3 linked regions of the Oryzias latipes genome follow. The protein of the gene in region 1 interacts with the protein of each later gene in a pairwise test. Links are inferred from orthologs where the notes say so. Each region holds a gene or a part of one and is shown on either strand. Other genes may lie near its edges.

Evidence for each region.
Region 2: the proteins of tsr2 (region 1) and rps26 interact in binary tests that used the Homo sapiens proteins (3 or more experiments, as listed by UniProt). The two-hybrid records come from large-scale screens. The link is inferred for Oryzias latipes from reciprocal best matches to the Homo sapiens genes TSR2 and RPS26.
Region 3: the proteins of tsr2 (region 1) and E3 SUMO-protein ligase PIAS2 interact in binary tests that used the Homo sapiens proteins (3 or more experiments, as listed by UniProt). The two-hybrid records come from large-scale screens. The link is inferred for Oryzias latipes from reciprocal best matches to the Homo sapiens genes TSR2 and PIAS2.

The regions. Positions count from the first base shown.
Region 1 is NC_019865.2:30,436,479-30,441,859, reverse strand, and holds the start of tsr2 (pre-rRNA-processing protein TSR2 homolog), read left to right. Parts: upstream 1-1,981; 5' UTR 1,982-2,027; coding exon 2,028-2,105; intron 2,106-2,280; coding exon 2,281-2,371; intron 2,372-2,542; coding exon 2,543-2,634; intron 2,635-5,381. UniProt on the Homo sapiens protein: May be involved in 20S pre-rRNA processing.
Region 2 is NC_019863.2:4,001,613-4,006,480, forward strand, and holds rps26 (40S ribosomal protein S26), read left to right. Parts: upstream 1-1,444; 5' UTR 1,445-1,542; coding exon 1,543-1,545; intron 1,546-3,146; coding exon 3,147-3,324; intron 3,325-3,587; coding exon 3,588-3,718; intron 3,719-3,829; coding exon 3,830-3,865; 3' UTR 3,866-3,922; downstream 3,923-4,868.
Region 3 is NC_019867.2:30,477,048-30,481,818, reverse strand, and holds the start of E3 SUMO-protein ligase PIAS2, read right to left. Parts: upstream 3,425-4,771; 5' UTR 3,410-3,424; coding exon 3,330-3,409; intron 2,029-3,329; exon of another isoform or gene 1,992-2,028; intron 1,882-1,991; coding exon 1,709-1,881; intron 927-1,708; coding exon 839-926; intron 770-838; coding exon 719-769; intron 200-718; coding exon 109-199; intron 39-108; coding exon 1-38. UniProt on the Homo sapiens protein: Functions as an E3-type small ubiquitin-like modifier (SUMO) ligase, stabilizing the interaction between UBE2I and the substrate, and as a SUMO-tethering factor.

The DNA of each region.
Region 1 (5,381 bases):
GTTGAAAATGCCAGAAAGTGCTCCTCCTCAGACGGAAGTGTCACACAAACGTAGAGATCTGATCTTTAATGGAGGAAGAAAGGATTCAGGTGGACAGCTGCAGGGATACTGTTGAACCTGCGAAATAACTTCTCTTTTTTTCTCTCTGACTGTGGTCGGAAACGCAGGGGAGATTTTCTCCAGGGCCGAAGGCGGATCCTCGTTTGGGATTCACTTTCCCGCTCGGATCGTCAGCCTCCAGAGCGAGTTAATAAGACAAAATACTTCTTCTGGGGAGGGACATCATCTTTTTATTAAGGTTCTCAGTCTCGATCACACAATATAGACGCAAACTCTCCCGCTCCGCGCTCTCACCCCCCTCTTTCGCCCGTGCTCTCACACATGCACGCGGGGTCTCCAACACACACACAGGCACGCACACACACGCGCGCGCGCGCACACTCCATAACTGTCGCCGTCGGCTTCATCGGGCTGCAGAGATCCTCCAAACCACCAATCAAAAAATAAAACATTAATAAATCATAAATCAAACAACTAAACTTCCAGACATTTGGAACGTTATCAATAAACATTCAGCTCACCTGTTCAACTAAGTTTAGTCAGTCTGCTCTGCTGCTTTGCAGCGTTCACTTGTTGCTGCTGCTGCCCTGTATGCTCACTTCCACTTTAATCTCGTAAAAATACAATTTTTTTCTCATAAATTTACGGTTTAAAATTTCATAATTTTACTTTTTTTGGTGGCCCTAAAATTCTGTCGTACCGAATAGTTTGAATCTGCCAGGCTTTTATTTTTTCCCCGGAAAAAAAGTCCTCACTTCCGTTGTGCTGAGCTTAATGCTAATGCTGCGGTTATGTCGTCGCGCTTCGGGTAATGCCGTTGCGCTGTCTCTTAATGCCGTTGTGCTTCGGGTAATGCCGTTGCGCTGTCTCTTAATGCCGTTGTGCTTCGGGTAATTTCGTCTTGCTTCGGGTAATGCCGTTGCGTTTTTCCATTTGTATGTAGTGTGAGCCCTGTCGGCCACCGTAGTAATCATGTGAAACGATACATTCACAAACAAAAGCCACAACGAAAGTCTGAGATGAAAATGGGATGACTGGAAGTGACAATTTTCCATCTACCAAACTGAACCTTTCTTCTTTTGCAGATAAATAAATTCTCATACACCCTAGGCTTTAATCATATGTGTTTTAAATATGTTCTTGTAGTATTTTTCTGATGATGGAGAACATATATATACATGTATATAAAGAAAGTTAAGCTCACAATTGCATTGCTGAGTATTTCTTTATGCAAATCATTGTGAATCAGGGGCAGTCGAAAAAAATGCTGTTGGAAGAAGGTCTTCATGTGATGTAGAAAATATGCTGTCACAGTCTCCCAGCTCTGCTCCATTCTGATCATCCACTGTCAGACAAATAGATCCGTGAACGTCTGTTTTCTTCGTCTGAGCTGGAATCTGGATCTAAACTGTAAACGATAATGCTGCCAATTTTGTTGCACCGCTAATGTTAGGATGGGATTGTGAAGGGCTGGAAGCTAGTGGGACAGTGTATAAACAGATGGGCCTACTACTCAGGAGTAAATTTCTAATGAACTCCTGCCGCTCTCTGCAGAAACTGTTCTAGAAAACGACAGATTGTTTTGATGTTTTATTTTATTTTTTTGTGCCTAAAAATGGCATAATCATGATTAAAAGACCACTGGGAACGCTTTGGAAAAAGATCAAAAGATGAATAAAGTGGGTCTTAAATGACCAAACATTGATGCAGTCAGAATAAATTAGGTTCGACTTGCCAGACATTTCTGTTGATTTTGGCGAATGAAACTCAGAATTGTATTTTCCGATTTTAAATTCGTAAGTGAATTCTGGGATATTAGATTACATAACGTTTTATTACACAGACATTTTCTGTAAAACTAATATTAACTTTCTCTCAAAATCGACCATCGAAACCTCGTCCTGGATCGATTGGTTACGTCTGTTTATGATGACGTCTCGTCGCATTCGAAGTGACGTCAGACTATTATGGCGGCCTCGGTGGCTTCACGTGAGCTTTTCACAGACGCGGTTCGGGCGGTTCTTCACAGCTGGCCGGTACTACAGGTGAGCTTCGAACCGGGTGAGGATTCAGATCCACAGAACCTGTCCCGGTTCTCCGCTGCGGTCCAGATGAGTCAACTTTATCTTGACCCGGTTTGGGGTGTTCCGCTGGGAAGGTGGACCTATTGTTTGGATCTGGTCCCAGTCGGGTTCGACAAATCCTCCGTTTGTTTGTTAGATTGCGGTGGAGAACGGGTTCGGGGGCGCGTTCGGCCCACAGAAGGCGGACTGGATGGTGGACGTGGTGCAGCAGTATTTCCATGACAACGGTTAGTAACCATGGCAATGTTTTTGTGCCTACATTTGTTTGTTTTTCTGTTTGTTTGTTTTTGTGTGTGTCTGTGTATCTGTTTGTGTGTACATTTGTTTGTGTGTACATCTGTTTGTGTGTGTGTGTACCTGTGTTTGCTGTGTGCCCACATTTGTTTGTGTGTTTCTAGCTGACCTGCAGCAGTATGAGGTGGAGGACTACCTGGCTGTGCTCCTTGATCAAGAGTTTGATACTGTCGTGGATGACGGGAGCTTGCCTCAGGTACCACGTGCACGCTCACGTGGACACACACATGCATGTCCTGGGGGTCATTCCAGGGGGGTATTCCAGGAAGCATGTTTAAATTAGCCAGACTTTAAGCCTGAACTCTGGCTGAAATCCGCCTGAACTTCCTTACTCTGGATATGTCGGTTCCAAAAGACCAGATATGAGTTAGCGTAATTACGCTCCACTTGGTAACCCTGGGTTAATGCACGCGCACAGCAGGTACATAAAGACATTCTCAATAGATCGCCGATTTCTGGAGTCACCATGGAAACGCGTGGAGAAAAAAAAGAAAGAAAAGAAAGCGCTATACTTCAGTGAGACGGAGTCTGAGGTTTTAATGATGGCGTATGAAGATTATACGTCCATCAAAAAAGTAATACGGCTGCAACATCAAAAGAGTTTCTGCTTGTAGTAGAAGAACAGACAAAGTAAACGCACGAGTTTCTGATCTTATTTCCATTTTCCTTGTGACGCATATATATATATATATATATATAAAACCTATCCAATTTTGCCAACATAAAGGAATTACTTCTATTGGTAACAAATAATTGAGTTAAATTTATTCAACCTAATTTCTTACATCTATAAAACTCAATAATTTTTTATACAACTCAGATTTACGTATTTATCCAACTAAATTTCATATTACTCCAATTCAATCAATCTTTTTTCCATCTAAATTAATTATATTTCTTGAACTCTCAAATGTCTAAGTTTGAGCCGGCAGATATGCTCATTTGTATAACATTAAAAAGGACGGGGGGAAAAATGCGCGGAGTGCAAAAATTGTTTAAATAATTTTCCGTCATTGTCATTACAACGCTAGACCGTAGGGCTGCTATATAAACTCATTATCCTCTCCTTCACTCTCACTCATGGTGCAAAGACGTAAGCTTAGTAGGACAAAATAACTCGGCAAAACACAGTAAAACAACTAAACACATTCTGTCAAAAACACACACTTAAACCCAAATCCGTCCAGAGAGGCAAAGGGAATGATATCCCACAATCCCTTGCGGTGCCGATCTAACAGCAGCACCAAAGTTACACCTACTTAATAGAATTAATTTGAATGAAAGGAAAATAACTGTATGAAAACTATGTGTTATTTTTAATCTGTCTTAAAAAAAAAAGCTTTATCTTAACTGAAGCAAATAATTAAGTTAGCTCAAAGTAAAAAAGTTTATTTTTCCAACATCCATATGTGGTCTTATCACCCTCTCATGGTGGAAAAAGTATTATCTGAGCTTCTTCATCCACTAAATCATCTTCAAATGAACACGCCATGCTGCTTCACCTTTCTGAAAACAAACTAACCTTCAACTAAACCTGCTCCAGACCAGGTTATGTTCAGAGCATGAGTTCCCATGGCAACTTGACATACCCTGAAACATACCTCCATTTCCGGAACCGAAAGCTGAGGTTATCAACTTCCTTAGCCTCAAACTTACCGTGAGAGCTAGAATAACCTGCTTTCTGGAATACCCCCCAGATATGAGTTGGCGTAATTACGTTTGACTTGGTAACCCTGGGTTAATGCACGTGCACGTCAAGTACATAAAGACATTCTCAATGGATCGCCGATTTTTGGAGTCACCATGGAAATGCGTGGAGAAAAAAAGAGAGAGAGCTATACTTCAGTGAGACGGAGTCTGAGATTTAAATGACGGCGTATGAAGATTATGCTTCCATCAAAAAAGTAACACAGCTGCATCATCATCAAAAGAGAGAGTTTTTGCTTGTTGTAGAAGAACAGAGAAAGTAAACGCACGAGTTTCTGATCTTATTTCCATTTTCCTTGTGACGCATATATACAGTGAGGTCAATAAGTATTTGATCACCCTGTGATTTAGCAATTTCTCCCACTTAGAAAACATGGAGGGGTCTAAAAGTTTCATCATGTACGATTTTTTTAAACGATTTATTTGTATATTACTGTGACAAATAAGTATTTGATCACTTGAGTTGAATAACCTTATTATTTGGTGCAGAAGCCTTTGTTAACAATTACAGAGGTCAAACGGTTCCTGTAGTTCTTCACTAGGTCTCTACATACTTCAGCAGCTATTTTGGCCCACTCCTCCATACAGATCTTCTCTAGATCTGTCAGGGTTCGGGGCTGTCGCTGAGCAACACAGAGTTTCAGCTCCCTCCAAAGATTCTCTATTAGATTTAGGTCTGGAGACTGGCTAGGCCACTCCAGAACCTTGATATGCTTCTTACAGAGCCACTCCTTGGTTTTCTTGGCTGTGTGCTTCGGGTCATTGTCACGCTGAAAGACCCAGCCACGACCCATCTTCAACGCTCTGACAGAGGTCAGGAGGTTTTTGCCCAAAATCTCACAATACAAATCCCCCTTCATCCTCTCCTTAATACAGTGCAGTCGTCCTGTCCCTTGCGCAGAAAAACACCCCCAGAGCATGAAGCTTCCACCCCCGTGCTTCACTGTAGGTATGGTGTTCTTGGGATGATGCTCCTCCTTCTTCCTCCTCCAAACACACCGAATGGAGTTAAGACCAAAAAGTTCTATTTTGTTCTCATCTGACCACAAGTCTTTCTCCCAAGACTCCTCTGGCTCATCAAGATGGTCATTGGCAAACTTCAGACGGGCCTTGACATGGGCTGACTTCAGCAGGGGAACCTTCTGTGCGATACATGATTTTAAACCAAGACGTTTTAATGCATTGACCAGCTCCTCCCTTGTGGTCCTGGGCTGATTCTTCACCTTCCTTAGCATC
Region 2 (4,868 bases), on another chromosome or scaffold:
CTTTTTTTTCCTACTCCTGATTTACAACGATTTGAATAAAGAAATACTCAGAAATGCAATTCTGAACTTAAATTTATTTACATATGTCCTCCATCATCAGTAAAATGCTACAAAAGCATGTTAAAAACACCCAAAACACAATTTTCAATGAAGGGGGTCTTTAATTTATCAAAAATATTCTTATATGCTAAAGAGCCTAACTACGACGGAGTATTAGGGCCACCAAAAAAAAAAAAAAATTAGAGCCACCAAAAAAAATAATAGTAAAATTACGAGATTTTATCTCGTAAATTTAGGAGATAAAAACTCGTAAATTTAGGAGATAAAAACTCGTAAATTTAGGAGAAAAAAAGTCGTAATTTTAGGAGATTACAGTGGAAGTGAGCATGCAGAGCAGCAGGTGAACGCCGTGCAGCAGCAGAGCAGACTGACTAAACTTTGTTGAACAGGTGAGCTGAATGTTTATTGATAACGTTCCAAATGTCTGGAAGGTCATTTGTTTGATTTACGATTCATTAAAGTTTTATTTATTGATGGTTGGTTTGCAGGATCTCTGCAGCCCGATGAAGCCGTCGTCGGTGTCCCTGCAGCTGTTCGCTTGAATCCTTTCTTCCTCCACCAAAGACAAGACTCTACGTCTGTGTGACGCTTCCGTCACACAAAAGGAGGAGCACTTTTTTTTGGCATTTTCAACGTTCCAAAGCTAATATAAAACACTATTTTCATTCCTCTTTATTGTTTTATGCTGAAACGGGACATTTCATCTGCAGGAGGGGGCGTTTGTAACACTGTTTACTTCCGCATTGGTGTTGGGATGACAGGTTCATGACGTAATGAGACAAATGAACTTCAGAAAATGTGAATGAAAAGGAGAATAAAGGCTGCAGCGATCCTCTACACCCAAACGTGTCTCTGAGCTCCTTATTTTACATATTAAACTCCGCTTTACTGACACTGAACCCCGGAAAGACTGCTACACGGAAAATGATCTGATTTTGAGTCGCCAAAAGGTTCAGAATCTCTTTGTTTTAAACCTATAATAATCCGGAAATGAAGCTTCACAAAAGGCTCCACATACTTCATCTTCAAGCTAGGTTCCGATAAACGGACAACTATAGTGTTTTTTCCTTAATCTACGACTTTTTTCTCGTAAATTTATGAGATTTTAAGTCGTAAATTTATGAGATAAAAAGTCGTAAATTTACGAGTTTTTATCTCCTAAATTTACGAGATAAAATCTCGTAATTTCACTTTTTTTTTTTTTTGGTGGCTCTAATTTTTTTTTTTTTGGTGGCCCTAATACTCCGTCGTACCTAACTAAGTTATGTTAATAAAGTTTAAAATCGAGAAATAATACGACATTTACTGTATTTTAAACCACCCGAAATGGCCATAAATTCACTTCTTTTGATAAAAAAAAGAAAAGAGAGAAATTTTCACGCGTGTTTATGAACACCGGAGATCCTCGGTGGGCGGGGCGAAGAGCGGGCCTTTTCAGGCGGTTCGTCCTCTTCCGGTCCTCTTTCCATCTTCCCGTTCAACATGGTGAGTCTCTGTCACTTCTGGCGAATTTATTCAACGAAGTATATCGATTTACCACTTCATTCCGATACAAATGTGTATTTTACTAGATATTATAAAAACAGGCGCGGTCTATTAACACTTGACTAAGTTGTAAATGAGCGAACGATGGGTAGAAATCCGTGTCGGGCCTAATGCTAGCTGTTAGCAGGCTAACCGTTTGGTGCATGTGTTCCGGAGAGCTAGCATAGCTGTTGCTAAGGTGTGCTCATTTAGGTCAGACTGCGAGCATTCAGATGTTATAAACGGTCAGTGTAATAGTGACGCAGTCGTCCAGCTTTTTCGTGTAAATGTGGAAACACCAAAACGCTCCTAAACATCGCCATCGCGGGTCTCCGCTTTACTCCGCAGAGACCCAGCGGTCCTTTCACCAAAGGCATTTATTAAGAAATATTTCCCATTTAGGTAAAGGTACTTTTGAATTGTATAGTATATGTGCTCGAGAAATCTATATTTCCATCATCTGGGACCATTTCAGTTTCTCACGGTAATCTAAACTATCCTTGACCACCCAAAAAGAACAGGAAGCAGATTGGAGTAAAAAATAATATTTTATTGCTGTTACTATTAGATTCAGTAGGGACCACAAGGCACACATTTCTAAGGTCCAGAGATAAATGTTGGTGGTGAAACAAAGGATAATTTCCAATTCTGAACAAAGAAATACACAAACTAGCCCAATAGACCTAAAATTGAGCAAGTTATTAATATTTTATGTCTAGCTGATCGCCTTTTGTTTTGTGGCTAGTAAACAATGGGAAAACTTGGTAATCACAGCTAGACGCATCAAGACTTTTTGGTGTTTTTTAATGCTACATCTCTCCTATCTGTGCTCTAAACCCCATCAATTTCTAATATGACATGGTAAAAGGGATGCTGAAGGTTTTAATATTTTTTTTAGAAAATTGTTCATGTAACGTTATAACATGCTCCTCTGGCTGCAGCTTATTATGCCGTATTAAGGGCTTGAACCCGTGACCGCTCCTTACTGCGCTTATTTACAATGTTCGTCATGATGTTATGTGTAAGACTTGGGTCTGCAACGACGAATGACGCACATTTCCTCAGTGTTTAGTGGTGGTTTTGGGGACCTTATTTATCGTGTACCTTTCATGAAGCTGTGAAATGGAACCAAAGTTGTGAAAAATTTGCAGTTGGCTCACAAATGTCCACTAAGTCCACTTTACCTTTTTTTTAAATTTGAAATCAAAATATAAATTATCCCAGTAAGCACCGCAGCGCATATTTTAACACCGTTTATTTTCCAATGTGAAAGCCAAGTTTTTCAATGGTGACACAAACGGCGTGCGCAGTGACACCCTTTGCGGTCCCTAGATTCAGCAGGACTTCCACACAATATTAACTCTCAAACGTTCAACTATTCTTTTAAACATTTACATTTGTTGTTTTATAACTTTCTTCTGTCGTTGTTTTATTCGTATGTTAGCCACTTTCTCTACTCCAGAATTGGTTTTAAACGTAGGAAACGACGAAGCTTAGCTTTTGCAGCTGTTAATAAAAAATAAAATAAAAATAGTCGATGATGACCTCTTTCTATTTGACAGACTAAGAAGAGAAGGAATAACGGACGTGCCAAGAAGGGCCGTGGGCATGTGCAGCCCATCCGCTGCACCAACTGCGCCCGCTGTGTTCCAAAGGACAAAGCCATCAAGAAGTTTGTCATCAGGAACATAGTGGAGGCAGCAGCTGTGAGGGACATCTCAGAGGCCAGCGTCTTTGACTGTAAGGAAGTGAAAGCAGCTTTTGTTGGGTTTTTAGGAAACTGTAGTGTTTACAACTTAACAAGAACTAGTTCTGTCTGGGCATCGACCTTTCTGTTTAGTAAGTTCGGTGTTATCATGACTGCATGCCAAACATTTGGCCACTGATGGCAGCTTATAGACTGGATGTACTGAAAGGGATGCTTAAGTTTAAATGGGATCGTTTCATGTCTCAGAAGTTTCTTTCTAGTTGGTTGTCATCTGAGGAATCTTTTTTTCCTGCAGCGTATGTCCTTCCCAAGCTCTATGTGAAGCTGCACTATTGTGTCAGCTGTGCCATCCACAGTAAAGTGGTGAGAAACCGCTCTCGTGAGGCCAGAAAAGACCGCACCCCGCCGCCCAGATTCAGGCCGGCTGTAAGTACGACCGAAGCAGCTTCACTGAAATTCAGCGCTGTTGCCATACAGCAAAACATGAACGCGTGACTGACGTTAGACGTCTAAGTTCACTTTTTGTCTTTCCAACAGGCCGGCGCACCAAGAGCTCCTCCAAAGCCCATGTGAAGCAGAGTTTTGAGATGCTGTCCATCTGACAAAGAAATAAACAGATCCTGACAAACATGTGGTCGCGGTCATTGATGTGGTTGTTTTGGGGGCCTAAGCTCACAGTTTTATTTAGAATAGTCGCACTAAACAAAGCATTCCATAGAATAGTAGATCAGATTAAAGAAGTGGACATTTGAACAATGCACTGAAAAGGAGAGGATGGGAGATAACGTGTTGAACAGAAGTTATTTTTTGCTTATTAGGACATATTTGCTGTTCAACACAAAAGTAACAAGTCAAACCAAACATCTGCAGATCCGTCCTTCAGTAGACCTGTGGAGGAAGTCTTCACTGCAGCTACATGTGTTCAGAGGATTTCATCTGAGCAGTGACCCAAATCTGTTTGAGATTCTCAATGTTTTATCTAATTGAGCTTAAGTTTAGGCATTTGATGGAGAACACCACAATCTGTGGCTTTTCTAAGGGAGAACTTAAATCAGTGTAATGCCAGTGTCTGCAACCTTAGGCTCTGCAGGCATGTATTCCCCTTTTTTTTAGCTCCACGTCTTAACAAACGAAACAAGTGTCATTTGTTCACCAATTTAATTTTAGTCAGGTTTGTGACCGAGGTGTTTCTGGATCAGTGAAATAAACAGGTTTACACATCACTGCTACTGCTGGCACTACCCCAAAAGGCTTTATATAAACCAGAGTACACAGATTTCAAAGCCTGGCTAAAGCTTTGGTAAAATATTGGATTTTCTGTAAACTGTTGAGTATGATTGGGGAAAGTTTCAAGCACATGTTCATGTTAACAGTAATAGAGGACAAAGCCACCGTAACCCTTGTTCTATCCTAGGCACTTTAACATTGGGAGTGGGGTCATCTAGACCCACTAGACAGTGCTCTGAAACTTTTTTATTCAATGATTTGTGATCTTCACTGGTGTCCATGGATTACATGAAATCTTTCCACCTTTGTCATGGTAGGGAGAACATGTCAATGTAGGGGTGGGGTCATC
Region 3 (4,771 bases), on another chromosome or scaffold:
TTCGGCTCCACGCCGTTTTTCGGGGGTGGGGCAAAACCCTGAGAGAGGCTGGATCAGTTGGTGTGAAGTTCCTCAGAGGGTTGACGTTCTGCGGGGCTGAGTACTCACAGGCAGAGGGAACAGCTTTCCGTTGACCTTGATGCACAGACCGTTGGGGTAGTTGTCCTCCTGAGGACAGCTGGTCTCCGACAGGCAGAACCTGAGCACACAGCAGGAAGTCAGAAACTGAAATCTCTGCTCGGTTGTCACGTCATCAAAGTCGGCTTTCTCCATGGAGATCATATGATGGAACTAATCTGCAGAGGAAACGATGCTGCAGCCGAAGCGGAGGCCACAAGCCCGAACGCAGGCTCTGCAGTCCTGGTCTGGGAACTCAGAGAAATTAGACGAAGCGATTCCAGTCTTCTCTCATTTCCACACATGCTTGTCAGATAACCAGAACTCCCTTCAAGTAAAAGCGTTTTCAGCTAAAGGCTCTTCCTCACAGAGCGCTGCTACAGTTTCTGCTCCATCTGCAGACTCTGTGGGTGAGTGAAGATCCCAGCAGAACCTCTCCGAATCAGCTGTGATCCCCCTGAACTTCTGATCTGATTAGCTGTGATTGGCTGAAAGGAGTGCTTAATCCTGCAGATTTCTGATTCTGAACTGTGAATTGGACCAGAGGACCCCAATGGCAACATTTACCTGCAGATTATGATAAAAACCTGAAACTTCTTACCTCAGCTGGATCTGAACTAAGTAGTCCCTCCTTCCTCCAGGTAGGAAGTCCCTGAGGAGAGGAAGAACAATCAGTCACGGGGCTCTCAGTCACGTAGCCGATGTTCCAAAGATGACTCACCGCGATATGCAAACCTCCCGGACCTGCTGCGGCGTCAGGGCAAAGATGAAGTATTTCTCCTGGTGGTACCTCTGTGCAGCGCTTACTCCTGCAGACACACAACACGCCCTGTCAGCGAACGCCTGAACACCATCAAACCATGAAGCACGGAGGTGGTAGTGCCATGGTGGGATGTCTAAAAAATAATTCACTGTGAAGACAAAACCCTTTAGACGAAGTCAGAGCTCTGGAGTCACCAACAGAAAAGGGACTTCATTACGAGGTATGTGTGTGTGTGTGTGTGTGTGTGTGTGTGTGTGTTGGGGGGGTCACAGAGTCTAGGATTTAAGTTCCACAGTATATGGAACTAATCAGCTTTAAGAAGGTTGAAATAGGAAAACATCTGATCCAAGTTCAAAGGTGAAACACAAAGAAACGTTTGATTGTTTTGGATTTTTCAGACTAAAAAAAGCCACATAATTCCAAATTGAAAATGAAATCCCATAAAGTAACTGATCGGGAATAAAGAAACATTACTGAATTCCAGATGGAGAAAACAGAGAAAAGGGGTATTTTTTTTATATGACTATATAACCAAACATCAAACTCTGCTCTGACACGACTGCTACTGAACATCTGCTCTACAAAGTGGGACATAAAGTCACTGCTCTGAAACATTTGCTGTCAGCCAGGAACTGTTCAACTCTTTTGTGTTACCCATGAGTTACGCCTGGGAATTGACAGGCTGGTGCTGCCTACTGGGATTTAGAACTTGATGTTAAGTTTTCTTCTGAAACCAATAGCTCATCGTCCTGGTTTGGTCTCTGTGGAGTCTGACTGGAATAAAGATCAGAGCGGATCTCATCTGTCAGCCCTGCAAACATCACACACCCAGACTGGAGGGCTTGATGAGGACGTCCAGAACATCGTAGAAGGGGAGGGGTTTCATCTCCACATCAGGGTGGACGGGGGGAATGAGGGGAGAGGGCTGCTGCAGGTTCATGGCGATCTCTGCGTGGGGCCACACGTGATCCAACAGGTCCGCAGTACTGGGGTGCTTCCTGCTAAAACACAACAGTTACACAAAAACTACAACACAGTCTTACACAAGCCCTGAGGTGCTGAGGTGGGCTCCAGGACGGCCCCTAACACACCCAGGACCAATAGGACCAACCATTGGTGATGTGGGCACAGAAGCAAACCAGGTTATCTCCACCTGATGGTAAAATAAAGGTTAAAAAAGTGATAATATCCAGGGAGCAGCCAGTAAAGCGTCTAAAGCTGAGCCCATCTGCTGCAGCTGGAAGACTTCTACTGCATGACGACAGAATCCAGACATCTTGACTCTTTCTGCTAGAGTCGTCTCACATGATTCACTAATATAACACGGTACACGAATCGATCACAAAAGATGCAACTAACTTTTATCTAAATGGATACAATCTAGTCATCATTGAAAAATAAAAATGAAAATGCCTTTTAACAGAGAAACTCTTATTTTTTTTAGCAACAAAATGTCTTTGAAGCGACAGCTTTAAACATTAAAGCCTACGAGTCTGAGTCTTTTAGAACCTTTTTCCTATGGTTAAAAAAAGGTGTCATATCAATTTGTTCAGGTATGAAGGTATTCAGCTCAACAGGAAGAGTAACAGACAAAGAAACCGATTTTTTGTTTTACTCCCTGATAGATTTTAGAGCTTGGTCATTTCTAACTCCATCAATGTTTTAAGCATTTCTCTATGGATTACATCCCTACTAGAAGCACAGTTCTCTCTGTTCTGTAAACTGTCATCATTTTCTTACAACTCTATAAACAAGAAACAAACACCCTATAACCAGGCTGCAAATCTTCACTAGTAGATAAATCTGCTTTAGACAAGTCAATAAGCAAAGTAAGTAAACTCCTGAGGGTATAAAAAGCTCTTTAAAGAATTAAGAGTGCAAAAGTAACTACAAAAGAGCCTGTGAACAGGTAACCAATCACTGAACCAGTCTGTAAGCAGTCAGTAAAAGCTGAATGACCAGTCTGTTCAAAAAAACAAATATAAAAATAAAAAATAAGTCAATTCCGGAACAAAACCTAAAGAATAAAGGCAACTGAAGGGTGACAATCACCCCAAAAGGTCCGTAAAGCCCCAGTGTTCAAGTTGTAAACAGAGTCAGAACAGTTGTAGGTTTAACCACAATAACCAGCCGGTAAATAGTCAGATAAAGAACCAAAAAACAGGAAATAAGCCTTCTATAACCAGGCTCTAAGCAGTCAAACAACCAGTCTGTAAACATCCAGTTCATAAAATACAAAAACCAAACATTCGGTGGGAGCCCAGCTGTTAGCGTGTTAGCTTGCAGGCTAACAGCTGCTCACTGGGCTCCTCGCGCCTTAAGCTCGGGGTCAGACGGGGTTTCTGCTTTGGTTCGGTTTGAGTCCATCTGTTCTGGTCGGTGCCGTCCGAGCTGTAAGTCCACATGAGACGTTGTTTTTGTTTTTTTCCATTCCTTTTTTGTTGCTTACCTAAAAATCCCCGCTCCCCGCCGCCATCTTCGACTTCCTGTCACATACTGCACGACGTAACGACGCCCTTCTGACGTCATGCGTCATTTGATTTCTGAACGGGGACCTCTTAGCAGAGGCGGGTAAAATCGAAAAAACATGTTCTAAAGAGAGAATTGTTTCACTTTAAAATATTTTTGATTAAGTAGGATTAAAGAAAAAAGAAACAATGATCCTAACGATTATTTGATTAAGAGTAAATATATAAATTATGTTAAAGCTACCAAACTATTAAGTAACAGAGCAAACCTGATTCTAGAATGAAACACTGAGGAACTCCATCCAGGCCTGTATGTCTGCATGTTTTCTATATTTCAACCCCCTACTTACAGATGATTACCTGGATCAGGTGTGTTCAAAGCATCCAGGAATGCAGCCCCTGGTCGGGTAAAAAGATAAATAAAAATGTGAAAATTCTGACGCTGCTGCCTCAAAGGCTCAGTACTGTGTGTGTTTAATCTAACTTGCAGAGCTCAGCCTGGGGTCATACTCAGTGAAGCGTCATTTTAGGGGTCACGAGGGTCAACCACTTACAGGTTAACCCGTTAGTCAGGCTAAACTTCTTTTCTGAAGCTGCTAGGCTTTGTCCAAATGTGAACTAATGTCTGAAGCAGTAAATATGCGTTTTCTGAAACGACAAATCCCATCTCTCCATGTAGAAATTTGATGGATTAGACTGGGTTTGGTGGTCGGCATGGGAATGGGAAATCTGGCAGAATTGTGGCAAGTTTGGTGGAGGGAGGATTATAATGCGGGACTAGCATCTTCCTGTTCCAACATGACAGCAAACCAAAGAAGGTGGACGTGGATGAAGGTTTGGTGTGGAAGAAGCTGACGGCTCCCTAGAACCCTGACAGAACGAACGCCTTTGGGGTCACGGCGGACCGTGAGCAGACCTTCTCATCAAACACCAGAGTCTTTAACGTCAAAATCTGACATTGCAAATCAACTTCCATGAGAACCAATATTCTCAATAAAATTGTAACCTGTGGAAAGTTTAAGCTGTTTTTTGGTGCAAAAACCAAAAACAGGTATATGTCAGTAAAACATCCACATGTGAAGGTAGAGGGAGAACACTTAAACACCCTTTTAAGGACCCTCATCCTTTTGAAACATGAGCTGGGGTTTCGGGGCAACAGTAGAGATTTTGAGGACGCTGTTCTTTTAGATCCAGCACAGAAAAAGCTGGACCTCTTGTCAGAAAAGGATGGTCTTCAGGTCAGCTGACTGAATAATGAACACAGCAGAGGTCAGTCAGAGCCTCTGTTTTGGAATTTCTTTAGGGGATAACTTTTCTTTTTTTTAAATGGGTCTAAAGCAGGAGACTTTAGTGGATCTTTTTCAGTTTTGCAATTTCTGAAAATCAGGCAGGAAGATGTCAACTTGTGTCCTAAACCAAGGCT